4 linked regions of the Mytilus edulis genome follow. The protein of the gene in region 3 binds, or shares a complex with, the protein of the main gene of each other region. Links are inferred from orthologs where the notes say so. Each region holds a gene or a part of one and is shown on either strand. Other genes may lie near its edges.

Region 1 (7,489 bases), on a different chromosome or scaffold from region 3:
GATAATTGAATTAGATATATATAGCTCTTGCATATGAACAATGATGAATAACAAATTAGGTTATAATTAGATACATTGTATCACATGTTAATCGTATAAGGTACATTGTAGAAGATCCTAGTTACCAAAAATCAACATTGATTGGTTGCAGGGCTCACGCTACCAGGCGACTTGGGCGAAGAAGTCGCCTTCCCGACCGTCACTTCGCTTTCCCCGACCCCCAAAAGCGAAAACAAGTCGCCCTGTTCTTGACGACAGTCGCTTTCAGTCGCTTCCGTCATTGGACATTTTCAATTTTTACCAAGTTGATGAAACATCAATTTTTTACTGATAATTAAAGAAATTCAGACATAAACGATTCATTATCTTTAGAAAAGAGGTTGAAGCATTGTCTTCGCAATTTTGAGCAGGTTATTTGATAAAAATACAACTTTTTATCACTTCGTGCATTTCCGCAAGTCCCGCAACTTGTTGCTCGAAAACGTACATCAACCTAAATTTCGGCGGCAAAATAAGTTTGTTACTTCATTTAAACGTGATAAAAGTTGCATCCAGTAAATGTTTAATCCATTTATTGCATTAAAACCGTCATGTTCCTTTCCAAATAACTTGTCAAACATCGTTTATTTTTGTAAATTTTCTTGCATTCGTCCGCCATTGACCGATTTCTAAACTACGGATCTGAACCGGACCAGCTATGACCCAAATCCGTACTTTTACAATAATTACTACGGATGCACGGATTGAACAGCTGACAGAAGAATATTGATCCCAAAGGGGAAAATTACGTATTCCACACGCATAAGAGACTTTTGGTTACATCTAATTGATTGGTGTATATAATTCCCTATATTTTTTATGGATTGTTTCAAACTATTGATTAAAGTTGCTTAACTCTAGAGACTATTCTACTAATATCAATATATTATGGCCCAGCTTAATAACTTTTATATTTTTTTATGAGAAACACTGAATTTCATACACAAGATAATTTTTAATTAAATTGTAATTGATATATTATAATTTCTTTACATTTTTTAAAATAATTTTTTTTTAGTGCTAGATATTTAGTTGGTTAGTTTCTCACAAGAACATTAGTAAAACTTAAACAACTTTTATTTCAAATGTTACTTTAATTGTAATTTTTTACTCATATGAATTGAACAACATAAAAAGAACATTATCTACATATGGCCCTTTATACTATTGTAAAATCCAAACATTGTAGCGCACCGCGCGAATGAGCACTTCTCTTTCAAATCTCACCACTTCTCCCTATCAGTTTCAAAAAGAGAAGTCACTTCTCCCTATAATTCTGAAGTAGTGTGAGCCCTGGGTTGAAATATTTAAATGTCAATTGCAAACTTGCATTGAATGAAAGTAGATCTAGAATGTATTGAATGTTGAAAAAAAATAGATTATCTGGACTCAGAAAGGTCGTTGGTCCTAGCAAGCTAGCAAGGCACAAGAAAATGTAGAAAAAAACGTTTATATATAAGTGTACATGTATACAGGTAAGAATGTCTGACAAGTACAAAATGAGCGCAGACAAATTGTCCTGTTTTGAAAGAGCACTGTGAAAAAATTATCTAATGGTATTTATTATAAGGAACAGAATAAGGTAGCAAAATGAGGTACTGATTTGTCTAGGTCCCAAAATGTCTCCTGCCTTGTCAGACTGTCTATCAATCATGTCAACTAAATATGTCTCCTAGGTGCCAAACTGTCTATTAAACTTGAAGCTGAATCTTTGAGGTGTCAAGCACTATTGATTCGATCAGTAAGACTGGTTTCCGAGAATGTTATACCTTTTACCTTTTAAAACTACCTTACAAAGAACCAGTTAAAAATTATCTATTGCAAGTAAACATATTGAAGAAAACGGTTTTGCATTTGAATAAACAGAATACAGAAACATGTCAAATTAATAATTGTTTTCTTTTTTTTGTTTATAATTACCATGATTACTTTGTTCATCAAAGTTGAGGTAAATTTATTTTCTGCAGAATAATTGAACTTGTCCCAACGGACAATCTTGATACAGCTTTTACTTATCCGACCTTTTTTCCCTCTGGTACCGGACAATCGTTATTGTCGAGGCCTGTTGAAAGACTATTCCATTACGTTTGTTTGGGTTTTTGTTTGGGCATTTGATGTACAAATGATGTAAACAGGATAAGACAATGTAAGAGGGTCATAATTATTTGGACTTACAAACACGACAATGTCAGGACAGTAAATACTTCTCCTAAATTATACAGGACAATTGTTTCAGGTAAGAATGTCTTACCATTGCTATGTGTGTTGTGTGTTCCAGTTCCCGTGTCTTTGACGAGATAAAATGGACCTGAATGTATTACTGAAGGAACTCTCCCTAAGCTTATTGTTGTCTTCAGAGTTCCAGTCGAATCTCCTCGGGGGTATGCAGGTGATCTTGACCCCCGGGGACTGGATTTAGGGGACACTTGCTCTGGTCTTCGAATTGCCTCATTCATTGTCCACCATGTTTGATCTGTTCAATGCAATCTCGATTTTGATTGGTCAGAAAAACTGTGTCTAATTCAGGTGATTAACGGAGACGCACATGTCATCAAATATACGGAAAATATAATTAACACAGACTTTTATTAAAAAAATTAGATTAGACATCAAGCAAAGGCTTTAGGCCCTCTCCATAAAACAAGTACAATGTTTAACATTAAAAAAAATCACATACACATACATTATGATTAACGTTACACATTTTTTTCTTCTTCAAATACCACCTGTAGCTGACTGGAAGGATACTTCAAATAGCTAGACAGTCACAGTAACTCAGGACAAATATCAATATGCTGTGTGTATATATAAAATCTCAGCGATTAATTTATAAATCATTTCTATATAGAAGAGAAGAATCATTCATCATAGTGCAACCTGAATAAACAAATAAATAAATACGTGTGTAAAAATACAAAATACAAATCAGCCAGCCACTTACGTGTTTGTATAGTAAGACTCACTATAACTTCCTTGAGCCAGTCAAATAGGCTTATGATGCACATTATATATATTTGCATCATAAACCTATTTGGCTGGCTTTAGAGGGGACCGCGGGGGGAATTTGGGTTGATTATATAGGGAATCACTGAAGCATGACCGGACTGCGGGTCCCCTCTTAAGTAGTCATGCAGTGGGCCCCCACTTATGAAAATTTCTGGAGCCGCCACTGCATATATTAAATGTTAGATAACGTCATCATGGTCGTGTGATGCATGTTTTGATATCGTTTGAATTTTGAGATATTTATTGATATATATATGCTCTTATTTGTTACTGATAAAATCATATATAATTTTTACATTTTGGATTAAAGAATTTCGATTGATTTAATTTGATTACTAAACATCATATTACACATATTTTACAGAAAAATAATATAAAACACTTTATCATATTAAATTGTTTTGACAATAATCGTCTATTTTTATATATCTATAGTATTTGTTTATTAAAATCTATTATATCTATAAGTTAACACATGATGACATTGGTAAAATCTCTTTGTTCTTACTGTGCTATAATCTGGATAATGCACAGCAAAGGTGTGCATTGTAAACTAACTCAGACATACTTGTACGTAGTTTCAAAATAGGAAACAAATAAAGGTTCCTCATTTCTTTTCTTTTTTTTATATCCGTCAGCTGGGACATAAAATATTCCATCATATTTTATATACACGTGACAGCGTAAATCTTATATCTGTGTTTTAAAGTCAGAAAGATTGTTAATGTTTGGTAATTTCTGCCAAAAAAGATGTATCTAAGAATATTCGAATAACAGAAATCTGATTTGGATTAGTTTTAGACTAAATGGAATTTAGAACGTCTTTTTAAATATCTATTCCTATAAAGTGACTATTTTTGGGTCAAATTTAATGAGGATCATATTTAAGTTTGTTGTTTCAAATTATTATTTAAACGGGGGATTAGCTGGAGATCAATCCGTCTTCATTTAGATGGACGTGTCTTACAAATTAATATAGTAGATAAAAAGAAATTTGTGGGAATGGGGTAGTAAAAGTTTGGATAGAGAAACGTATTTTCTATTTTTTGAACATTTCAAATTTAGGTAATATAGAATCTTCCTCATTTCGTCTTTCTCTAAGCATATCATTGAGGGAAAGAAATTCAAAAGCAATTAATCCAAACTCAATTACCCTTTCAGTAATGATTTTTTTTTTTTTTTTATCTTTGGACAGTTATTTCAAATGGTTTGATAGTACAGTGCACTTGGCGGTTTCAGAATTTTTCATAAGTGGGACTCACTGACTGCCAAAGAGGGGGTCGCTCCAGTCATGCTCAGGGATTCCCTATAAAATCAACAAAAAAAATCCCACAAAAAAGGGGAGGGAGCGTATTTAGACAATTGCATTTAATGTATTTAAAGCCTTTCCTTCTGTTCTGTTTTATATTCTTTAACATTTTTTTTACAACTACACCCTTTCATTGACAATGGATCACGGCAAAATGCATACATTGCTATGTTACGTTTATATGTATGCTTCTCCCATCTACATCATGTACATACTATACTAGTATTACATGTATATATAAAAGGTTTAAAAAGGATGGCCACCCTAATTGGCAGTTCTTTAAAAATTAGTTCGGAAATGCTTATATAATAAATATACAGAAATATTAAGAATCGATAGAAAAATTAATTTTACGGTGATCGAAGTGTTTGATGTGTATCGGCTATGGGACAGCTGTTTCACATTTCATAGAGGCTCCATTCAGGCTTTATTAAATCAATAGATCAAACTGTAATCCGTCATAAACAAGGTAATTTCAGCGAGAAATATGAATAAATAAAATAATTTTCCCAATTTTTCCTCACCAGGTGTGCTTCAGCGACAGAAGTTCGGATGATGTCGCGTGCCACGTAGTCGCACTTTACTTTGAAATCAATTAGAAAAAGACAACTTAGTCACACGGAATAGGGGTTGAATTTCCAAGTACGACCAGAAGTGCGGACAGTCAAATCGGTATTCGTCACAAATGTTTGTTTTTATGCAAGGTATGGTATTTTTTTATTCATCTTAATGTATGAGAAAGTTAAATGTTTTACATAAAAAAGTGATGCCGGTATGTTGATTGAAATATATTTTTGAACAAATTTACCAATGGTATTTGTTATTTGCTTGAATTTATTAAATAACCAGTAATGCAAAAAGTCAGGTATAATTAATATCAAACAACAATTATTGTTTTGTTATGTGAGAGAAAAAGGGGGGATGCAATACAACTTTCTCAATATGTTTTTTGTAAAACTCTCAGTATGGTTATATTTTGTATATCTAAATACGTTCCGAATATGAATACAGCAAGATACATTATAAATGTAAATAGAAAGATTTGGAAATTGTAATTACTTTTGAATATTCCGTCATACATTTTTCTAATTTTGTTTCATTAACATTTTGAACATTTGTTTTTTTAATCAATTAATCTTTTCCTTTTATATAATTTTTTAATTCAATTTAATTCCAACATATTTTTTTTAATTTAAAATCATTTTCTATTACTTTTTTCGCAAACACTATATTTCGAGCTTACGGCTGTTACTACATATCATTCCGCGATTTTCAGATTTGCTTGATGTTTAGTTAGTAAATATGGACAATTTATTCTTGATTAAAAATATTAACTCAAAATATACATAGATTGTCAAGTTCAATTGTAAATTGAAAAGGGTGTTCAATTGTAAATTGAAAAGGGTTATCAAAATTTTTGTAAATTATGTTTTTTTTTAAATAATATACTCTTACTGTGTCCAATTTGCATTCGGAAAATATTAAGACTGTACCGTTTTTTTTCAATAGACAGTTGCTGTTGAGGATTAGCTGATACAAATCAGAAAAAAATTCTGAAGTGTTCAGCCATTTTTAAAAGGGAAGTTTCCTAATCTAGGATTTGGAGGGGGGGCAACAGAGGTTTTCCCAAGGAACTCTCCCCTGAATCTGCCACTTGTTTTCTAGATTCGACAGTGTAGACATTTAATCTTAAAGCGAGACAAACATTTTCATATTTGTAATGCTACCGTTGAAATATATATCAATTCTTTGAAGATTAGAATAAACATACATTATTCAAATAAGTAGCTTCCATAAAACACAGGCAGACTAGATATTGAACAAAGAGTGTGCGAAATATTCGTGTTCTCCTCGCAAATTTGGTTAAATGATCATTTATCAACAAATAAACTCAAACATCCTATATCGTGCGCATAAAAAAAAATCATTTTCTTTCTTGAGTCGATTGATATTTCGCAAGAAATTCTAGGCGAAAATTGTTCAAATATGAACGCATTCCACGAAACAGTATGTAGTTATCTCACTCAAGTATTACTGCTGTCGGTGTAAATGTGCAATGGTGACCGCAAAAAGTGAGTCAATTTATCAATAAAATAAAATATTTAAAACAATATTTTTATATTTTTTTATTGTTAATCTTAAAACTGAGTCTATCTAAAATTTGAAACATACTGAAATTAAGAAAAAATACCACAATTTAAAAAGTTTATCTCATCATCATAAAGAAAGCCTCTGCTAAATGTTCATAACATTATATGAAGGTTTGACACTGTAATTGAAGTGTAAAAAAACTTTAAAATCTCACTTTATATGTTTTGTTGGCTTTAAAATTAAGATAACAGATTTCCAAATGTTAATTTGGATATGGAATAGCTAAAAAAGCTTATCATAATCTGTTCAATTTTTTTTAATTATATAAACGAAATAATCACAGATTAAACCTAAACGTTGACGAGAAAGGTTCAATCTGTGGTTATTTCTTTTATTGACAGAGCCATCGCCACCGCCGACCACAAATCCCGATTGGCTATTATCTCTTGTTGGCGACATAAATGTCACAGCCTCGACACATTGTACCTAAACACATTGCACTCTTGAATAATTTCATCGATATATCAAGAAAACGCCCCCAGTACTCTGCAGTATCGATATCGAATTTCTATACAATATTAAATCCATTCATGACGAAACAATACTGGATATGTATTTCCCTAAGAATAATTTCACAATGTAATAACAGCTGCCACCATTAAACAAAATGAAATCTATTGCAACATATTGCAGTATGATTAGCGTCCATTTCTTTAAATTAATTGAAATACTAGTTATAAATTAAATGTTCATAGCAAGACATAAAAATAAAATAATATCTTCGATTTATGGATTAATGCTAAAATCATTATGGTAAATGACTGGGTAATATCATTTGTTAAAACTGTTACCCCTAATTTGAAAATGAATCAATCCACTAGATCAAGAAACTCTTCCCAATAAAAAAAAACGTGTGACCAGTTTTTGATTCTTTCATGATTTTATCAAAGTGTTCTACATACTTTGTGTTTTTCTGTAAGCCACTGGCTAGTAAATCAGTTCATACAAAGTGACAATCGTCAAACAAAAGTAATTCTTGTTCTG
Region 2 (7,456 bases), on a different chromosome or scaffold from region 3:
GATTAGAAAGATGGCTAAATGATCGAATTTTGAGATTATTACAATTGTTAGATATACTAACTGGGGAACCTCATTTTTTAATATTTGTGTTTTAAAAAATCAGAAAATTGTTTTTAATAATGGTTTTTGTCATAAAATAACATTAATTGCCAGAGGATATGCATTTTCAATTAAATACACATATATGTATTTGTTTATTATAATGCAACCTGAATATATACATGATTATACAATTTACAATACAGATATCAGCCTGCATAGGCTTATGAAGCACTTTATATGTAAATATATGTCCTATAAATAAATTGCATTTATGTTTCAACATATCTGATAGTTTCTGTTAAGATCTAGACCATTCAGTTGCTATCGAAGATGGCATGAGACTCCAGTACTGTCGTACAGTATATATCAATTTTCTTTGAAGCAACTTATTGTATGTACATTAAAGTTTTGTGTACTCCTAAAAAGTATTAATTATACAGTTTTATGGTGGCTATAGTATCTTTGAAACTAGAACAAAAAACATTTTTCCACAAAACTCCTACAAATTCTTATATGATCATCCGAAGAAGACAAATTTAATACAATAAAGAAAGCCTTACGCGATTTAATTTCATCTGAAAGTTAAAGACTGTGATGTCTAAATGCACGCGCTTTCACTCCTTCTCATGAAATCGCAAATAATTAACTATCTGGTGGCAACTCAGACATGGTGGTAAATTAACCCGGGAAGCATCCGCACTTAAAATCAATTACAGCCGTAGTTACACCATCGATAGAACAGAATGTGCATTTATAAATATTGCCTTCCAAAGGAAAAATTTCAACAACAAGAATGGTGAAACTTGACTAACTAAAAGAGCGAATTAACTTGCAACTGATCATGTTGTACAAGGTGGTTGTAGGGGTTGTTGTCGACTTTACATCAACAACTTTCATCGAACAAGAACAACAAGGAGTTTGATCATACCAATGACTTTTCAAGACTGTTGCGTCAAATATCCTTCACAGATGTGTCAAATATATATATATATAAAAAAGAAGATGTGTTATTTTTGCCAATGAGACAATTATGCAATAACAAAAAAACCGTAAAAATTCCGGACAGTAAAACACCACAATAATAATACATTTTCATGTGAATACAATGGAATTAACTCCAGGATTTCATTGTGCATATAGACTCCGTAGAGGCATTCAACCCCGTGGAATAAAGGACGGTATTCTCTCATGCATTTGTATATTGAACTGAATTACTCTAAAACACTTATATCCAATAAAAGATGGAGGTCAACTCGGAAGAAATAAAGCAAAGACTATAAAAGGAGCTATAAACTGAAATATATATCGCCCACTGACTTTTATATCTGGAAATCTCTTAACAAAGGAACTGTGTCATGTAAGTGACTGCCCATTTGTCAACTATAAACAAAAATTATATATAACAATGAACCTTGTAAACAAATTGAAGTGTGTACTAGTAAAGGCAATGTGCAAACCTGTCATTGAATTTCGTGCTTTATCTGTCGAGTGATGCCTCGTAGATAAAATGTCATCCTTTTTTTTTACCTTTTGCTCTTCTTCTTCTTTTGTCTTTTCTCAAAAGCATCCGTAAAGCTACCGCACCAGGAACTGAAAATTTATTAACAAAAAAAACATTCGCAATTTTTAAGAAAACGTACGGGACGTCATGACTATCCTTGACTTGCGGAATCTGGCACTTGTATAAACTTCAATTTATTTGAATATTACATGTGTTTGACGGATAATCAACTACTGTAATATGGATACAAATTGTGTGTATGATGTAGGTACCATATATCACGAAGTTATAGGAATTCCAATGTGAACCAACTATGTACCACTTATATCCATGGCGTTGTCAGTTTTTTTTTTCTATCTATGAGTTTGAATGTCCCTCTGGTATCTTCCATCCCTCTTTTATTGAGAACCTAAATAAAGAATGGGATGCTTTCATAATATTTGCATGTCCTTTTAGGTATTTATTTGCATGAAGATGTGCGATTTTATTTGCCGGATAGACATACAGATCTGATCATAGCTGATGTATCATTGTTATTGTGCGCATATGTATACCTGCAGAAAAAGATAAAAAAAGACATACCCGTTACTTACTTATTAGAGGAAAAACCTTAATTTATCATAATTGAAATCTGTTAATACAACTTCAAAAACAAAACAAAATGAAAAAATAAAATGAATGTGTAAATGTTTGACCATCATCATATCTATTAATATAAACGAGGGGATGTGAAATAAGACTAACAACTATGATCTAAAAAGTATGTACATTTTGGTTTCTCATTGATTAAAAAGTTTCAAATTAGAAGAAACTTTATTCGGTTATGTATTTCTTCACATAATAGAAATGGGTAGATAGCAAGATACCCCACCCCCTACACAGCAGAATATTGATATATGAACTGCCAATCGGTTGAAGATGTGGTCCATCTCCTTTTCCGTACCTCAAAAATTAAATGTATATGGAATTGCAAACAGTTATGTTTGAAATATTGAAATAAAACCCGTCAAAACAGCTGCGAATATGATTTGGCTTTGTAGTGTAGAACATATTGTTTATATACAAAATACATACATATATTTTGATTTTTTGCGGCATAAACTTGAATTAAGTCAAACACAAAATAGGCCTTTAAAAATAGGAATGAAAAATGTATTTAGTCTTAGATGCATGATTGTTTTATTAGTTGTTAGTGGCTTTGAACTAGACTATCAGTTATCTGCGAGTACTCTCAGATCTGTTCCTATTGTCTTTTTGTTGTTGGGATGTAAAAGTACCCGGCCATATCCACTTTTTTGTCCATCTGATGAGTTAAGCCTTTTTCAACTGATTTTTATAGTTCATTCTTATGTTGTACTGTTATACCACTGTCCCAGGTTAGGGGAGGGTTGGGATCCCGCTAAAATGTTTAACCCTGCCACATTATGTATGTATGTGCCTGTCCCAATTCAGGAGCCTGTAATTCAGTGGTTGTCGTTTGTTTATGTGTTACATATTTGTTTTTCGTTTATTTATTTTTTTACATAAATAAGGCCGTTAGTTTTTTCGTTTGAATTGTTTTACATTGTCATTTCGGGGCCTTTTATAGCCGCCTATGCGGTATGGGCTTTGCTCATTGTTGAAGGCCGTACGGTGACCTAAAATTGTTAATTTCTGTGTAATTTTGGTCTCTTTTGGACAGTTGTCTCATTGGCAATCATACCACCACATCTTCTTTTTCATATTAAAAAAAAAACATTTTTGTTTTAATTTCTATAGATGAGAATATTCATCCCTTGGTGTCAACTGCATTCTACTTACTTGTGCTGATAAACGGTTTATGCTATTAGTGCAGGTAGGATAAAGTCATTTCCACATATATATTTAGCATGTCAGTCAGTCTGTTTATGATCACATGCATTTGACTGTTAACATGATTAACCTGGGCTAGAAAACTTTGGCCGGCTGTTTTCTGGTCTTTGGAAGGGCTAGTGTCTCTTTGACATATTCCCATTTCCATTCTCAATTTTATTTATACATATCTTTCATATAATCTGTTTCAAACTGAAATTACAAACTTTTTAAAAGACTGTTTTTTAAATTGAAAGTATATAAATAAGAAGCAGAAAAAATGAAGGGTTCGTTTGTTGTTTTGGAGATGTATGCCATCAGAGACAAATAATACATAATCAAAAGTTTGGTAGGAAATAATTCTCTCTGGATTTTGCATACATTTACTATTGGCACCTTTTTTCTTTCAAAAACTATGGAAAAAAAACCGGTTACATATAAGATTTTCAAAATTGGCTTTTAAAACCAGATGTGATAAAATTATGAAAACAAAAGAAGAGGTTAGAGGGCAAATTTTTATTGGCACCACATGGACAAAACTACAGGATTCAGGTCGAATTTCTAAGAAGAAAATATCAAAAACATGAGTAACAACCATACTTGATTTCAAATTATAATGTTATTGACATGTCAAATTTTTATATCGGCCTTCTTGGCCCGGCTCTATTGGATTTAGGAATAAAATATCCATCCTTCCTGCAAGCAACTTACTGTGACTTGTCTGTTTGGCTGACTCGATCATAAAAAAAGATCCTTTACTTTGGGTTTGTCACTGATTTGAAAATAGATATTGCCTAGTAGCAATAGAAAGGGATTAAGGGCAGCCACCCCTCAGTAAATTACTGTTCCTAAACAACAACAAAACATTTTAGATAGAACTTGCAATAGTGAATGTGGAACTACTACAAGACAAGAAAAGACAAGACAAGACTAGCATCCTGGCCCAATATAATACTTTTATTGTAGAGCAGTGGTCCCAGGATAAATGAAAGACGGTAAAAATCTGTCGAGCGTAGATTTTCGAACGCGTTTTTTATAATGGTAACTTATGACTAAATTTAGAACGCACTTGTAAAAGAAAGAAAATGTCTGTGTCTTCAAAGTGCTTGATAAAAGGTGAAATTTGGTTGGATACAAAACATAAATTTTGACATCGACAGGAGGGAATTGAATATTGGAAAAGGATGGAATTAGTTTACACGGTGGACTGTGATGTTCCTTGCGGAGAGAAAGATTGGATATCAGAGAAAAAGACATGCTGTTCTTTATCACCCCAAAACTTTTTGGCTTTTTCGACCGAAATAACTGTGAATAGGTGAGACATATAGACATTTTTCTTTAGGGAGCTACCATTTGATTTTTATGGGGGGCAAGGATGAAATTTGAAAAAAATAGGCAGGACAGGAGTTTTGAGTAAAAAAAAAAAGGCAGGATGAGAAACTTGTTAAAAAAAAAAAGACAGGATGACAATTTGTGTAAAAAAAGTCAGGATAAACTAGTAAAAAAAAGGCAGGACCAAATAGAGTAAAAAATAAAAAGGCAGGACAGAGATTACCACTAAAACAAAAAGCAGGACAAAATTTTTCATCCTAGCCCCTCCCCCCCCCCCCCCCCCCCCCCCATAAAAATCAAATGGTAGCTCCCTTAGAGGTGTTCATTTTACATTTTTCTGCACTGACATTTGAAATAAGAATCTCAACTCAAATCATTCCAAAAAAGATTAAGATATCTTGAAACAAACAAAAAAGTTAACTTTTATATATTTAGTCCTGTCATGCCTTCAAACTTTCATTGCTCAGATATCCACATGCATGGTGTAGCATAAACCTGGTAGGTCTTTTCAACACTGAACACAACCGAACACCACCTAACACAATAAAATACCATCTAACACAAATATGTTGTTTTCATCTTTATCTGACGAGGGTTAATATGTTCAGTGTTCTAGCCAGGATTTGAAAAGGGCAGGGTGCTAGTTTAATAGTCCAAAAAATTATGACATTTGGCAAGGCTAATTTTTTTTTTTTGGACGCCTTCCTACGACGTTGTTATGTTCATAAGACAACACAATTTGCAATGTTTACCGTAGTTGTATGAAGAAAGCGTAACTGACAGGAAGAAGAAAACCCAAATCAATTTGTTTAAAATATCGTTTTACTTGTTCCGTAAAAAATAGCAAATTCAGACGAAATTAGTCTTTAACTGACGCCAGTTATGATACAAAAATATCAAATCCGGCTGCCATTGTTGATCATATTTACTTCTTCTACGTACTGTGTACAATCCTCAAATGAAGGAACACACCCAAATAAAGAAAGATAACTCAATTTTACTTTTTCGTATCATTGAGATACCTACTTTAGACATGTCTACGATATGTCTACATAATTCTGGGTGTAGAATTTATGTGTTTAGGTCTTTTGAGTTATGGGAAGAGTTAAAGAGGGTCTTAGTACATGTAGTAGCAGTATGGGTAGGATGCCTTTTTGACATCTTTTTCTGTATTCTTCACTTTTGATACAGTTTTTCACTGTTCTGTAAATTTAAACAACTTATTTTGTTTTCTTCATTCAATTACACATTTTCTATTCTTTATTTTTTAATTTAAAGACATTTTATCTATTCTGTAGCATATATACAGACCAGGGTTTCCCCTGGGTCAATTATTTTTTTCGCCACCTCTTTCGCCAAAACAATATATTTTTCGCCACTTTATTATTTTTTTCGCCAAGTAACATAAATATATTTTTCCTGTTGTGCCCTTTTGTACTAAGAAGTAATTTTTACAACAAAACAAAAGCTTTTATCACATGAAATTGATCTCTCATTTCATGTGTAGTCATTACATTGAAGGGTAACTCTCATTCGAGGGGTTGTTCCCAGCCTTTTGGATAGATTTTTTCATAACAACAGTTTTCTTTTCTTGACCATCGTAAATGAAAAAGTTGAGACGTACAACTATGCTTGAAACACGTGCATGTGTCACTCAAACGACTTTATTAAAGTCAAAGGATAAAAGAATTAAAGTTTTAAATCGGAGATTTTTCTTGCTTTTGTCACAACAACAGCTTTCTTTTCAAAACTATCTTTAAAGGGAGAGATGTCAAAAGTTTGCTTCAAACACGTGCGTCGCAAAGATGTAAATAAATTCTGTATGTGACATTTATAGCGGAAGCCATTTGACCATATCATTTTGTGAAACAATATAAGCAACACCTTTATTAATTAGTCCTTTGTTGTCCATAGCTATAAAATGCAATCAGCTGATTATTGATTTTCTGTCTAAATCTTTGAGGTCAAGGTGAATTCCGAGTATTGTCTGATCGGGTAAAGTCCGAGAAACTCGAAAAAATGTAAATAAACAAGATGGAGGAAAATAAATCGGTTTATATATTTCTTTCGCCAAATTCTTTCGCAAATGACGAATTTTTATCGCCACAATTATTATTTTTTCGCAAATTGCGAAAATGGCGACCGCCAGCGGAAACCCTGATACAGACCATGAGCTAATTTATACATGTATTCTTCTACATTTAAAATACTGTCAAAAGAAAATAAAGTACACATGTTATTTTGTTGTATATATATAAATTACATAAACAAACAACATTTACTGTACATCAGATTCCTGACTTAGGACAGGCGGGATTAAACGTTTTAATGGTAAAATTTATACCTGTATAGAGGGATAATCCTTCTATAGTTGTCTAGAGGTATATTTTTTAAGACTTGATTTAAAGCAAAATAGGGCAACACATCATTTTCTAGTTATATTGGCTATAATTTTCAGCATTTATTATAATATATGAATCAATTTGCCTTTTCAGAATCTGAAGGACTATGGGTAATCTCATTATTTGTACACCAAAATGAAAATAACTTTACGTCATTGGTTGAATTTCTATTGTTCATCACGTTGTCAACCAATCTCAATATTTTGCTGTATGCTTTTGGAAATATTACCAAGAATGTATTAGATTCTGAAACGGCGAATTATCAATGATTATTGCACTTAACTAAAAATTGGGATGCCCAGTTTTCTGGGCCTGACTTATACACATTAAAGTCAAGTTCAAAATCCCA
Region 3 (7,599 bases):
CGTGTTTATATTGTATTTATATATATAAAGTCTATACCTTTCTGTTTACATCGTTCACATCGTAAACATCGCGATGTTGATAATATTGTATCAACATCGTGTTTATATTGTATATATATATATATAAAGTCTATACCTTTCTGTTTACATCGTTCGCATCGTATACATCGCGATGTTGACAATATTTTGTCAACATCGTGTATATATAGAGTCTATACCTTTCTGTTTACATCGTTCACATCGTATACATCGCGATGTTGACAATATTGTGTCAACATCGTGTTTATATTGTATATATAAAGTCTATACCTTTCTGTTTACATCGTTCACATCGTATACAACGTAATGTTAACAATATAGTGTCAACATCTTGTTGTTGTAATATATACATTTTTTTTCGTTCTTTTTTTTAAAATAAGTTAACATGGTTAAGCAGTTAGTTATATAGTTAAAATTGTTTTCCATTTTTCATGTCTTTTATTGTTAACTATGCCATATAAACTTTGCTCAATGTTAAAGGCCATACGGTTATCTATAGATGTGCCAGTTAGTATGTATGTACTGAAAATTTTACTTATTTGCAATCATACCACTTCTTTTTTTATAAATACCTTTCTGTTTAAATTGTTCACATAACAATGCTAACAATATTGTGTCAAAATCGTGTTTATATTTTATATTGAGTCTATGGTACGTATATAAACGTTAAACAAACTGCATTTGTTTGCACCTGTCCTTAGTCAGGAATCTGTCGTTCAGTAGTTGTCGTTTGTTGAATTGTTCATACGTGTTTCTGGTTTCATGTTTTTTTTACATTAGACCTTTATTTTTCCTGTTCAAATAGTTTTACACTAGTGTTTTGTTGTGCCTTTCATAGCTTGCTACTCGATAAAAACCAAAACTCCGTATTAATGTCAAACCTATAGGGGTATACTTATAAAAGATGTAACTTAAATAAAAAGTTGTCTCATTTGAACTTATACCGCATCTTCTTATATGTATACATCGCTATAATAACGATGTCAACGATGTAAACAATATATAAAAGTTCAAACAATGTTAACAAAGTTGACTAGATATCGGTTTAATATTGTGTACATCGCGATGTTAACGATGTCAACGATGTAAACAATATATAAGAGTTTAAACAATGTCAACGATGTTCACACGACATCGTTTTAACCTTGTAAACATCACGATGTTAACGATGTCAACGATGTAAACAATATATAAAAGTTCAAACAATGTCAACAATGTTGACACGACATCGTGTTTACATTGTATACATCGCAATATTAACGATGTCAACGATGTAAACAATATATAAGGGATCAAACAATGTAAACGATGTTGACACGACATCGTGTTAACATTGTAAACATCGCGATGTTAACGATGTCAACGATGTAAACAATATATAAGAGTTCAAACAATGTCAACGTTGTTGATACGACATCGTGTTTACATTGTATACATCGCAATGTTAACGATGTCAACGATGTAAACAATATATAAGGGTTCAAACAATGTAAACGATGTTAACACAACATCATTTTGACATTGTATACATCACGATGTCAACGATGTATACATTATATAAGGGTTCAAACAATATAAACATTGTTGACACTATATCGTGTTAACATTGTAGATATCGCGATGTCGACAATATTGAATAAACATCCTTCACTGGACATGAATGGGAGTGATGCGCATTGAGGAGTGTATGATGCTAATTAAATGATTCACACACAAAAAACGGAATGACTCATATAAATCCAATATTTGCTATACCTATTAAATTTGCATATAATCTAAAAATGAGTGGAATGATATCGTAGCATGACAAGACAAGACACATACTTTATTAAATTTTCACCACTTGTTACATATAAAATATACAGCTTTTTAAAACACAAATTAACAACAAGAGCCACTCTATAAAGAGTTATGAGAGACTATATATAAAACAATTTTTCATTAATTATAATACAAATACAGCTTAAGTCAACTATCATGATATAAAATACATTTACGCTTTATTAAAATTTCATAGCAGATTTTGGCAGTATAAAATACCATATTTTCATTTGTAAAAAGAAATATATTTGTTTCATTATCAGACATATGTAAAAAAAAATCTCATCAACAATACTAGCATGGTTAAAAATAACATTACGAATATATGAATATGCAGAACAATATAACAAAACATGTTAATTTCATCTTTAATTTTCATCTTCAACGTCATCATTACAGTTAAAAACATAATCTATTTTCAATATCAATATTTTCATAACGACCAGTTTCAATTCTGAAGGGTGCTACACCACATCTAAATTTTGCTAAAGCACTCCTGTATCTACCTGGATTATTAAAAATTAAATAATTTTCTACGCCATATACATTTTTGAAAATTCTATATGTACGTAACTTATTTTTATCATCTGACATAATCTTGTCATACCATTCTTCCTTAAATTTTTCAAAACATACATTTTCAATATTCTTTAATAATTTAATTTTGGATGTAACGCGTCTTCTGATTGGCTGACGTTATTTTGTTATCAGCCCATAGACATAATTCAGTCATGTGACCGTGACGTCATCAACGTTTTTTCATGGTTTTCTATGGAATTTAAAATTAAATTATAAGAAATGACTGTAATATTTTTTCTGTCTATTCGAAATAACATAAAAAATGTGGTGCACACTGTTATATAACCCGCTTTGCGCGTTATTCAGTGTGCACCAATCTTTTTATGTTATTTCTTCATAGACAGAAAAAATATTACAGTCATTCCTTAAATTATAAGACACGGTGAATGTTTGTTTTAAATTACACTTGTTATAAATAAAGTTTTAACTTTACCATATATTTGCAGTAAAACAATCGAAACAAGAAACAGTATGTACATTCCGATGGTTTTATGGGAAAATCTGTATGTGGTCTTTTAACATGTCATTTTAATATTTAAACATCAAATGAATTGAAATTGACCAGAAAGTATTTATTTGTATAAAAAGATACTAAAAGTGATTGGTTTTACACTGTGATTTAATTCTTTTATTTGGAATAATAGGATAAAAGATGAAATCAAAATGACTGCTATTAATCTATAATTATTTAACTTTGACGTCAGAAATGTAATTATTAAGTAGGTGTAAATCTATTTTATTATAAATACAAAAAAAAATATTTATCCCAGTTGTACCAAGGAATGGGATAATCCATTCTTTCTTTAAGAAAATTTATGATTTTCATATTTGACAAACTGAGCTCAGATTTCTTAGTGTTTCTAAAAAAAATGAATAGAAAAGAAAAGACAACATTTTTTTTATCAAATCTGACTACGGTTTTGTAAAGTTCAATTCTATTAATAAGGAATGACTGTAATATTTTTTCTGTCTATGAAGAAATAACATAAAAAGATTGGTGCACACTGAATAACGCACAAAGCGGGTTATATAACAGTGTGCAACACATTTTTTATGTTATTTCGAATAGACAGAAAAAATATTACAGTCATTTCTTATAATTTATAATTATCACAAGCGTAGTATAAAACTATATCATTAAGACCGTAGTTTATCGGCAGAAATGTGGTTGTTCTCTAGTATCTTGTGTTGTTAAGCTTTGCATGAATATTTAGTTAGCTCTGTTCTGTCTTGTTCTCTTTATTTTATGACGATATTTGGGTATTTGCTTTGCAGTATGTCAATCATTTTATTTATTTTTTTTGTTCATTTTTTTCTGTTTGGCTTTTATTTGTGTGTATGCGTTTTATTCTTGGCTTGCTTGTATGATTTGTATGTGTTTTTTTTTTGTAAAGTACAAAAATAAGCCTTGAACTGAGATGTGGTATAATTACCTATTCGACAACTCTTCACCAAAGATCACCAAACACTAGGTGACATACGTTTACAACATAATAGATCCCTATACGGACTTCAACAATGAGAAAACCCTTTACATAGTCAGCTGTAAGAAGCCCCGAAATGTTAAACAAATCAAAGTGACACGAGAAAACTAACGACTTGGTTTAAGTATTAAACAAACAGTAAACTAACTACAAATATGATAAAGACAGCAACAAACGACAACCACTGTATTACAAGCTCTTGGCTAGGGACAGACACTTTTATTGAATTTGGCGGGGTTAAATTATTGGCGGACGCCCCACCGTGAATCAGTGTGTTGGTTTGCGAATGATCATCAAATACTTAGTTCATTTGAGCTCATCAGTGTAAAAATAAGATAAACTGATTACTCACTTACGTTTGGTTTTTTTTGGGGGGGGCAGCTTGAAAACAGTCCTGTGACTCATTTTTTTTTATTTTCTTTATGCACATTATTAGAAATCTCTTTTAAAAAGGTTATATCGCTCATTTTTGTTGTCTCTCTATCCCGGATGACAGACATATTTTTCGAGTTTTAAAGGGAACCCTAAGATCCATATTTTTTAATATTTAAAAAAAAACCGGATATAATATTCAATACATCTTTGAAAATTCTTCAAAAAATCTATCGATTTTAATTTAGAAAACCTCTGTACCTTAAACGGATTTTTCTCGTTCTCCCTCGGACGTTGCTTTTTACTTTAGAATTGTAGAAAATGGCGGCGTCCATGGAGGAAAATACAAAATTGTTTTCTTTTTCTTTTATAATCTAATGTAAATTGTTTTCAGGAAACAAGAAAATGTCACAAAGAACCATAGAAGATGTCGTTTTTGACGTATTCAATGATATACTAGTAAGTTAAATATACAGAGTGTGGCCATAAGTATTCGCTTCTTGAGATGTTTTCACAGAAAACTAAATTTTTGGGGTAAATTTGTTACTTGATTTTAAGTAACTTGGTACCATTAGAAGCAGAATTGACACATGTTAATTTATGGTAGATTAGCCTTCCTTATATGATGTAAAGGCAGGCTTATTTTTAAACTGGTTATTGCTATTTTGTAATATAATACAAAAATGTACATCAATATACATAATTTGTACATGTTAAGGTTCATGTGGACCCTATTGCTAAAATGGCCATATTTTCACCTCAAAATTTTCTCAGAGTACAGGCAAACCTGTGCATCTGGAAAAGTTTTAAGGCATAGCATGCCCTAGATAAATAGAATTCAAATGCATTGTATGATTTAGAAAATTCATAACTTAACTGGATTTTTGCGGTACACTTTTTTTCGTCTCTGCAGAAGATGATAAAATTAACAATCAGTTGAGTTTACTTTGATATGGTCCACTCAGGTACACAGTTTAAATAACCAATTATTGTCAGGTATCTATTGTCCATCTAATGTCCATGTCAATTAAAAATACTCACTTTAATTTTTACCTGTGGGGAAGTTCTCAAACCTGTTTCCCAACTTAGTTTATTTTGGCACCTTCTGGAGGAATGAAAAAAAGTGCACAGCAAAATCCTCGGTACCTCGAATGACCGAATAACACTGTTATTGTCCGAATAACACATGTAATGACCGAATAACTCTTCAAATATCAATATTAACACATTTGAGTGACTTTTAAACATATATTATTGAATAAAATTATATAAGAAGTGTATTTTATAACCTAAAAATGATTTACAAGTTGCAGGTAAGTTAATATTGATCACCAAAATTTATGGATATTGGTGTGTACTTCCAAGATGGCGACCAAGGAAATCGTATAGAATGAATAAAAGAAAGATTGCATATGCCTTCAAAGGAAAACGCTATGAAAATATAGTATTAAATATTTTACTGTATATACATTTATGTACAGAGAATTGTCTAATGATTGTTTTTCAGAAAGGATTTGAAAATTTAACCAGTACATCAAAGCAATGCAATTACTCCAATCACTAATTACTTTTCATAACAATTTACTCAACATTAAATAAAATGTAATTAAGAATTTTCACATATTCAATTCAAATTTAATTAAAAAATTATTATACTTGATTGTTTTTAATAAAAACAAAGCTTCTGAATGGATGATTCGTATGTTTGTTCTAATAAAATTTTCTCAAAACTAAATTAAAGATTTTCATTGGCAAATATAAATGTTTTTACAAGTAACTATAATTTTGTATAAAAAACCATGAAGACATTTGTGCTGTGCATATCGTTGGTAGTGAGTCCAATGGATATATCTTAAATATCAAAGTTCTGTTATATTGTTAATTCGGTTGTTGTTTACTGACACGTGCCCATTACATAATTAATCATTAAGAGATAATGAAATTATATTACGGTATGGACACTCTGCATTAAACAGGCTTGTGACTGTCTTGGTTTACCAAGGCTGCATTACCAACACCAACAGTGTTTTCCATTCAGCATTTAAGCCGGGTGTGCCGACCACCTTTCCATTTTAGGAGGTGGTCGGCTTTTTTTTTCAAATTCCGGATTTTTTTCGGTTCCGCACCATAAAAATTTAAATACTAATCGCGCCTCGCAGTTTGTTTTCATTGACAAAAATGGCGGATTGTCAAATTTCAATGTTTTCTTTTATTAATCAGGGGAATAGAAAGGCAGATGACCAGAAAAATTCTAAGCCATATAAGTCAACTAAAACGGATAGTTGAATTGAAATTGTTGAAATTGAAAAAAAAGTATCAAAACAACAGAATCGGCACACAGGTGATCGCGAAGATAAACAGGTTGGGAACAATCCCAAAATGAGGGATATCCCTCAAATGAGGGACTGTCCATCAGGAAAGGGGTCATATTACTGTGGAAGAAACTCGGAAGAAAAGAAAAAGAAAAACTTAGATTTATTACCTTAAAAGGGGGGAAATCGTTTTATTTGGTACAACTTTTCTACAAGAGTGTCCATAATGAGATAAAAAGGCCCAAAACAAATATGTGCTCATTTGTTTCTCTTTAAATGTACCCCTCATAAAAGGGATAGTCATTAAATTGAGAGATTACCCCTCATTTGAGGGGTGGTGATAAATATGAACAGGACTTTCAATGGATATCGTCACAGAAAGATATTACTGTTCTGTGTGCCAAAACAGCACCAAAGCAAGGAACAGGACAGAAACTTGGTTCGATAGGCCATGCATTAGCAGATTTCGTAGGAGGAGGGAGTCCTGCAAAAGCAATTATGAACTGCTATCCGAAATGCACAAAACTATTTTGTCAAATCATTTAATGAAAGGCTGGCAGTGATAGCAGAAGAATGGTTCAATTCCATTAAATGTAAATACAATATTTATCATTCTATTTGTGACCCGAACCCACAGTAAAACTGAAAAAAATCAACCCGGTTGAAAATGTTAAAAAAATCAACCGGTTGCAAGTGTTTTTTTTCAAAACACCCACCTTACCTTAGTGAAAAAAGGAGAACACTGACCAATAATTATAAAAATGAAAAAAAGAACACAAATAAATATTTACAACTATATACAATATGTACATCCTATGTTAGCTTTCTGTGAAAGGGTAATAATGTTCAATGTTTCACCAATAATTTTTGATTATTTAAAATAAAATTATTTAAAATTATTAAAAAAAAAAAAGTATTTAAAGTTGATTTGAGTTTTCCTGTTAAAAAAAGCTTTCTTCTGGCAAATTAGGGGCTTGGTTAACATCCATTTC
Region 4 (7,005 bases), on a different chromosome or scaffold from region 3:
CTACATTTTACCCCTATGTTCTATTTTTAGCCATGGTGGCCATCTTGGTTGGTTGGCCGGATCACGTCACACATTTTTAAAACTAGATACCCCAATAATAATTGTGACCAAGTTTGGTTTAATTTAGCCCAGTAGTTTCAGAGGAGAAGACTTTTGTAAAAGTTAACAACGCCGGACGACGACGACGACGACGGACGACGACGACGACGACGACGACGGATGACGACGACGACGGACGACGGACGCAAAGTGATGAGAAAAGCTCACTTGGCCCTTCGGGCCAGGTGAGCTAAAAAGGGCACAGTCCGCTTGAAAGTCCTTAAATGTAGCAATACGGGGTCATCCGTATTCTAACGGACTTGCTGACTATATTTTCTTATTGTCTCTTTTTAGATCAAATATCGAATTGCTCGAATATAAAATTACACTAATTTTAAATAAACATTTGACAAATTTGGTCTATTCACAAGTATTAATTAAGCTTAATGACATTGACTTTTTAAGTTCTATTTTACTTATTTTTTAGAAAGATTGTAACAACACAAAACAGTCATGATTGAAAAGTTATGAAATAAATTACAGAAATTTACATCATGACACCTAAGTTCATTTTCTATTCTCTTAACCCCGTCCGGACAATCAGAGGTACAAGAAGGTTAAAACCGAGTAAGCCGAAAGCTATAATTGTATACAAATACAAAATTTATTGTTCAGAAATAGATTTTATTAAAACAAATCTTACTTCAATTTCTATATAAAATGAAAACAAGTTATAAATTTCATGAGACCGAGGTACTTTCCTTCACACTTAAAGCCGAATATTTGAAATCTAAGATCTAATGATATTCTTAACAGTTGAAGGGCTATATGACCAAAAAGGACCTATAAAATATAGCCTGGCATGATACTACTTGTAATATTGTTAAACTATCTGGGCCTCTCATAAAGGTTAATAAACGATTACATAACTAGTATGGCTATACATATGCTTTCATTGTAGCACATTGCATGTGATGACAGAGCCCTGCTTCAGTGTGCAGTGTTGTCGTGTTCTTCTTATAGAAATACCAACATATGAATATATAGCAAAAAAAGGTTTTATTCATAGTCTACGGGTGCATCACTCGCACCACCATTTTTAATGTTCATTAGACCTTATATTTGGGTCAAAACTCTAATTTGGAGTTCAACTTCATCAAAAACTACCTTGACCAAAAACTTTAACCAACAAGAATGTGTCGACCCCCAGTACACGGATGCCCCATCCGCACTATCATTTTCTATGTTCAGTGGACCATATAAATGAGAGAAAATCTCTACGTTGGCATTAAAATTAGAAAGACCATATCATAGGGAACATGTGTACTAAGTTTCAAGTTGATTGGACTTCAACTTCATCAAAAACTACCTCGACCAAAAACTTTAACCTGAAAACTTTAACCTGAATCGGGGCAGACAGTCCAACGAACAGACGGACGGACGCACAGAACAGAAAACATAATGCCCATAAATGGGGCATAAAAACTTTTACCTGAAGCGGGACAGACGATCGAAGGAACGCACGGACGGATGCACAACATAATACATCTAAGTGAGGCATACAAAGCATTTGTTTGGGCATGTATCTGTATTTTCCTTATTTTATATCTTCATGAAATGATACTCATGCGCTAATGCATGCAGTAGTTGAACTTCAACTGATGCGTATGTGAATTAAACGGGGAAAAAGGATATATGATATATCCAAATATTTGCACTACCGATATCGATGAAACATGTATGTCCGTGTATATATCCAGATTGATTGATTGATTGTTGGTTGCTTAACGTCCAGTGGCAAATGTTCCATGCATGTTCAAGACGAGAACAACATCATATATATCCAGTGAAAAAGTGTTTACTGTCTGTCCTAAGAGACCAATAGATGACCACATTTTAAGGGTTGCTGATAAAAAAAAAAAAGGACAAATACCTTGCAGCAGAACGAAAGTAGAAATATTATATGTTATTCAGGTCTCAGACAGGGTATATACTGTGACATTCCCGGCTTAGAGTTTATATCCCCTGAGCCGAAGGCGAAGGGGATATAAGCCCTAAGCCGGGAATGTCACAGTATATACCCTTTCTGAGACCTGAATTACACATATATTACGGATTACCCCTGACTTAATGTTATTTTCCAGTGCAGGTATTTGTTGACAACACATATATATTGAAAAACCCAACCTTATATGTTCGGCATACGTGAAGGATTTTTTAATTTTCTGTGAACATAATTTTATCGTGTATGTAATAATTTATAATAACACTTTTAACATCAAATTAAAGTATTAAAAGTGTTAATTGCGTGATTTTGTATCAAAAATGTATTATTGACTGAAGCACGTCATTATTTTCCCTCTGTGAACCTCTGACAGTCTGATAGCTTATGACTACGTCACATAGTAACCGGTGTTATGATGACGTTTTTGAGGTTCCAATTGGGGATAGAAACGTAGTATATACCCCGGCAGTTTCCTGAATATATACTGACATCTCTGAGTTGTTATCCAATCAGAAACCTCGACACATTTGTAATCCGTAATATTATATGTTATTCAGGTCTCAGACAGGGTATATACTGTGACATTCCCGGCTTAGAGTTTATATCCCCTGAGCCGAAGGCGAAGGGGATATAAGCCCTAAGCCGGGAATGTCACAGTATATACCCTTTCTGAGACCTGAATTACACATATATTACGGATTACCCCTGACTTAATGTTATTTTCCAGTGCAGGTATTTGTTGACAACACATATATATTGAAAAACCCAACCTTATATGTTCGGCATACGTGAAGGATTTTTTAATTTTCTGTGAACATAATTTTATCGTGTATGTAATAATTTATAATAACACTTTTAACATCAAATTAAAGTATTAAAAGTGTTAATTGCGTGATTTTGTATCAAAAATGTATTATTGACTGAAGCACGTCATTATTTTCCCTCTGTGAACCTCTGACAGTCTGATAGCTTATGACTACGTCACATAGTAACCGGTGTTATGATGACGTTTTTGAAGTTCCAATTGGGGATAGAAACGTAGTATATACCCCGGCAGTTTCCTGAATATATACTGACATCTCTGAGTTGTTATCCAATCAGAAACCTCGACACATTTGTAATCCGTAATATATATATATACTTTGACAAATTTCACTTTAGTCTAATGTATGTTATAGCAATATTATATATATATATAGGGAAATAAACAAAACGGCAGAATTAAAGATGAAAAAAGAATTAATATAGCAAATATCGAATGAAATCTAAAAATTACCTTTTTAATTTGACATATTCGTTCTCGTGTGGTTTATCAGCTAGAAAGATTAGTATTCATGTGATCGTTTATAAACGGATAAAAAGCGGGAATTTTAAAATTCTGTGTATGCATTTACGAGTACGATAGTTAATTGATAGTGACGTTTTAGATATAAACATAATTATTCTTCGACTTTCTAAATTCCAGTCGCTATAGTTCTTTGCTATATATATTTCAGTATATAATATTAATTTATTTCCTTTATGCAAAAGGTTAACAATACTGGCGTCAATATTTGTATGATTTCGTGAGACTAGAAATCCTTGCGAAGATCTTTTAAGATTTCTAAGCACGGGGGAGGGGGGGGGGGGGGGGGTAGAAACCCAAACCCCCCTAAATCCGCTAGTGGGACAACAAAAATAATGAATAAAAAATAATGGGGTGCTATAATATGAGGTGATAACAAGGCTCCAAAATTAAACAATTCGGTAAAACATATATATATATCTTATTCTTATTCTTATATATATACACTGATTAAAGAAAATAATAATGTCCAGAATTTACTCCCAATTTCAGAGTAGCTATTCGAGTATTAAAATAACCGGCGTACTCCTCACCCCTATCAATAACCTTTGATTCCGTAACCGTTTGTCGTTGAAACCGAACTCGATTTCGTTTTTATATGGTTAGTACAGTTTCCGGTTTCAGTTTTGTTTTTATTTTCAGAAACTGAACAATGTATTTTGGTACAATTGCTTGTAATCGAACATTTTAAGGGTAACTTTAATACTTCAATATCACAAGAGGTTTAATCCTGATATAAATGATAGAGCACAATGTCACTCAAAGCAATAACAGTAGGGAAATAAGAATAAAAGGGCAAAATTATATATGACATCTATAATGATCTACATGTATAATAGCCTATATAAAAACCATTGTTGTAAATATGACATGTATGGATAAGAGTAAGAAGACATTGAATAAAAGAAAATAAATAAGAAAAAATGAAAAGACATTTACAACAAGAAAAAAGAGATAAGAAAATGCATACCTGCCAACTTTTCAAAATGACCATGGGGGTTTTGCATGCAAGATCATGAACATTGATGAAGATGGCTCCTATATCGCAATATATGTAGTCCTACAAAACCTTCAAGGGGGCCTTCAAATTCATTTTAATGTTGGTTTTTGGCTTCTGCATACTTTTACACGCCAATAGCCATTGTAAAATTCATTGTTTTGTTTAAAATTTTGGACAAAATTGCTATTTCAAAATTTACATTTTGGAGCTTCCATGGGGGAAATCCCCCACCAATAGTGACAGTTGGCAGGTATGAAAATGGAGGAACCATGCACCAAGTGAAGTACCTGTGCTCTAAAATTGAATGATAAATCATATGAGGCAGGCTTTATCTTGAACATGTTGAAAGGGGACAAATATTCTGACATTTTTCTAATTGGTCTCATCAAATTTTTGTGAAAGCTTACTAGTCTGAGAAAGGCGTCCCAGAAAAAAAATGAAGAAGCCTTGCCAGACGTCTTATTATTTGGACTAGGGAATTGGACTATAGTGGGTAACGGGTCAGACTGATATACACAAGACAGGAATATCATACATGTACTCTTTGTGCAGCTGTTTCTATTTACATGTAATATGAGGCAGGCATTACCTGTAAATGGGGACGAAGTCTGTATGAATTATTTTTTTTGAACCTTAAATATATTTGTTAAAAAAAAGAAACGGAAATACCGTAACGTTTCCGATTTTGGTTCTGTTGTTAGGTATTTTAGTTGTGACGTTATTTAAGTTATGACGTCATATGCAATGTAAACAAAGAAACGCTATCATCAGGTAATGTTTTTTTCATATCAAGGAATTATCAAAAATGAAATTGGTATTGCGTTCCTTCCTATTTTATACTAGACTGATAAATATATATTTTACTCAAAGTTTCATACAAATGAGACCAGAAAAAGGAAGTACATTGTATATTTCTGCACAGATGCGGGAATTCAAAACATAACATAAAAAAATTGAACGATTTTGAGTTCATTAGTACATATACTCTTTGTGCAGCTGTTTCTATTTCTGAATGTTAAAAGTTAAATTAGTTTTTTTTTCTCCAGAAATGAATAATTGTTGATAAATATGATGGATCCACAATTAGCACAAGCATTAAAGGCAGCACCAACCAATGAATACCTTCTACAAGGAAGCATTTTAGACAGTTCGTTAGAAGTCTTATTGTGTAGACTGAAAGGTCTTTGTGATCATGCTGATTCTCCTGAAGAAAAATTTGTAGATCATGAAATGGTGTATGCCATCAGTAAGTATTCAGTAAAATGACGGTAAATGTTGAATAATTACATTACATGTATGTTTCAATATATGTTACTTTAACTGGCTAACAGCAATCTGGAGTCATTCTGAAATTAACCTGAATTTTAAAATGAAAATCAAAAATGTAACATTTATGAAGACAGGAGCTTTCACAATAACATGCACATATAAATAAAAGAAAGTCTTGTTTTCATGATTCTAGAATTTTCTAGCAAAAGAATTTAATTATTAATATTGAATGCTTCTTTAAATAAGTTTATAGGGTTGTTGAAGTGTTGACTGTGCACATTTTTAGAATGAAGTGCTTCTGTGGCTCAAAGAAAATGTACCCCGGCCAACACTTTTACATCCATATAAATTTACAAAAAAAACATGTCATTCTTAATTGAATATTAGTTAAACTAAGTATAGTTTTACTAATAACAGTACTTAATGAGGAAGTAATAGTTATCTATTTGATACACTTGAGCAATATGCATGTTTATAATAACATAAAAAGAAGAAATTATGCTTGATTTATTTTTTTTAAACATTTTAATATAATATAAAAAAGAAGATGTGGTTTTATTGACAATGAGACATCTCTCCACAAGAGACTAAATGACAAAGAAATTAACCATTTAGGTTGTTGTACTGCCCTTAACACTGAGCAAAGCCCATACCCAATAGTCAGCTATTGAAGGCCTCAAAATTACAAACGTAAAAAAAATTCAAACAAGAAAACTAACAGCATGAACAGCCTAATTAATGAACAAAGAAAAGAATGAAAAACAGATAAAGTAAATTTTTAGATAAGCCCATCTGTGTGTTTTGTAAACCTAATACTATACTCTGAAATTGGTAAAAATTAATGCTGTGACTTGAATGGAGAGTTGTCTCATTGGCACTTATACCCCATCTTCTTATATCTTTTAACTGTAATCATCAAGTCTTGTTTTGCTTTAATCTTTTCTTTTTATTATATTTCAAATCAGAGAATGCCAGCATTCCTCAGCCATTACAATATAGTGTCAGACATTCCCTGGTTCAACCAGAAAACTGGTAAGTCCCTGTCCAGTACTCATTGTGTTGTTGGCGGTATGTTTTTTCTACATGAGGTATAGGGGGAGGTTGAGATTTCAAAAAACAAGTTTAACCCAGCTGCAATTTTGTGCTTGTCCTGAGTCAGGAGCCTTTGTTAGTCTTATATGAATTTTAATTTTAGTTTCTTGTGTATAGTTTGGAGTTTAGTATGACTTCCATTATCACTGAACTTGTATACATATTTGTTTAGGGGCAAGCTGAAGGACGCCTCTGGATGCGGGAGTTTCACTCTATATTGAAGACCCTTTGGTGGCCTTTGGCTGTTGTCTTCTT

What was found.
Region 1: mediator of RNA polymerase II transcription subunit 23-like (region 3) and mediator of RNA polymerase II transcription subunit 19-like share a complex: the UniProt entries of both Drosophila melanogaster proteins name them as parts of the mediator complex. The link is inferred for Mytilus edulis from reciprocal best matches to the Drosophila melanogaster genes MED23 and MED19.
Region 2: mediator of RNA polymerase II transcription subunit 23-like (region 3) and mediator of RNA polymerase II transcription subunit 16-like share a complex: the UniProt entries of both Drosophila melanogaster proteins name them as parts of the mediator complex. The link is inferred for Mytilus edulis from reciprocal best matches to the Drosophila melanogaster genes MED23 and MED16.
Region 4: mediator of RNA polymerase II transcription subunit 23-like (region 3) and mediator of RNA polymerase II transcription subunit 18-like share a complex: the UniProt entries of both Drosophila melanogaster proteins name them as parts of the mediator complex. The link is inferred for Mytilus edulis from reciprocal best matches to the Drosophila melanogaster genes MED23 and MED18.

The regions. Positions count from the first base shown.
Region 1 is NC_092349.1:32,000,281-32,007,769, reverse strand, and holds the start of mediator of RNA polymerase II transcription subunit 19-like, read right to left. Parts: upstream 3,001-7,489; 5' UTR 2,496-3,000; coding exon 2,291-2,495; intron 1-2,290. UniProt on the Drosophila melanogaster protein: Component of the Mediator complex, a coactivator involved in the regulated transcription of nearly all RNA polymerase II-dependent genes.
Region 2 is NC_092351.1:6,236,238-6,243,693, forward strand, and holds the start of mediator of RNA polymerase II transcription subunit 16-like, read left to right. Parts: upstream 1-4,433; 5' UTR 4,434-4,557; coding exon 4,558-4,688; intron 4,689-7,456. UniProt on the Drosophila melanogaster protein: Component of the Mediator complex, a coactivator involved in the regulated transcription of nearly all RNA polymerase II-dependent genes.
Region 3 is NC_092344.1:94,866,838-94,874,436, forward strand, and holds the start of mediator of RNA polymerase II transcription subunit 23-like, read left to right. Parts: upstream 1-4,588; 5' UTR 4,589-4,700; coding exon 4,701-4,754; intron 4,755-7,599. UniProt on the Drosophila melanogaster protein: Component of the Mediator complex, a coactivator involved in the regulated transcription of nearly all RNA polymerase II-dependent genes.
Region 4 is NC_092350.1:56,520,302-56,527,306, forward strand, and holds the start of mediator of RNA polymerase II transcription subunit 18-like, read left to right. Parts: upstream 1-3,979; 5' UTR 3,980-4,082; intron 4,083-4,795; exon of another isoform or gene 4,796-4,999; intron 5,000-5,279; exon of another isoform or gene 5,280-5,435; 5' UTR 5,436-5,457; coding exon 5,458-5,635; intron 5,636-6,623; coding exon 6,624-6,690; intron 6,691-7,005. UniProt on the Drosophila melanogaster protein: Component of the Mediator complex, a coactivator involved in the regulated transcription of nearly all RNA polymerase II-dependent genes.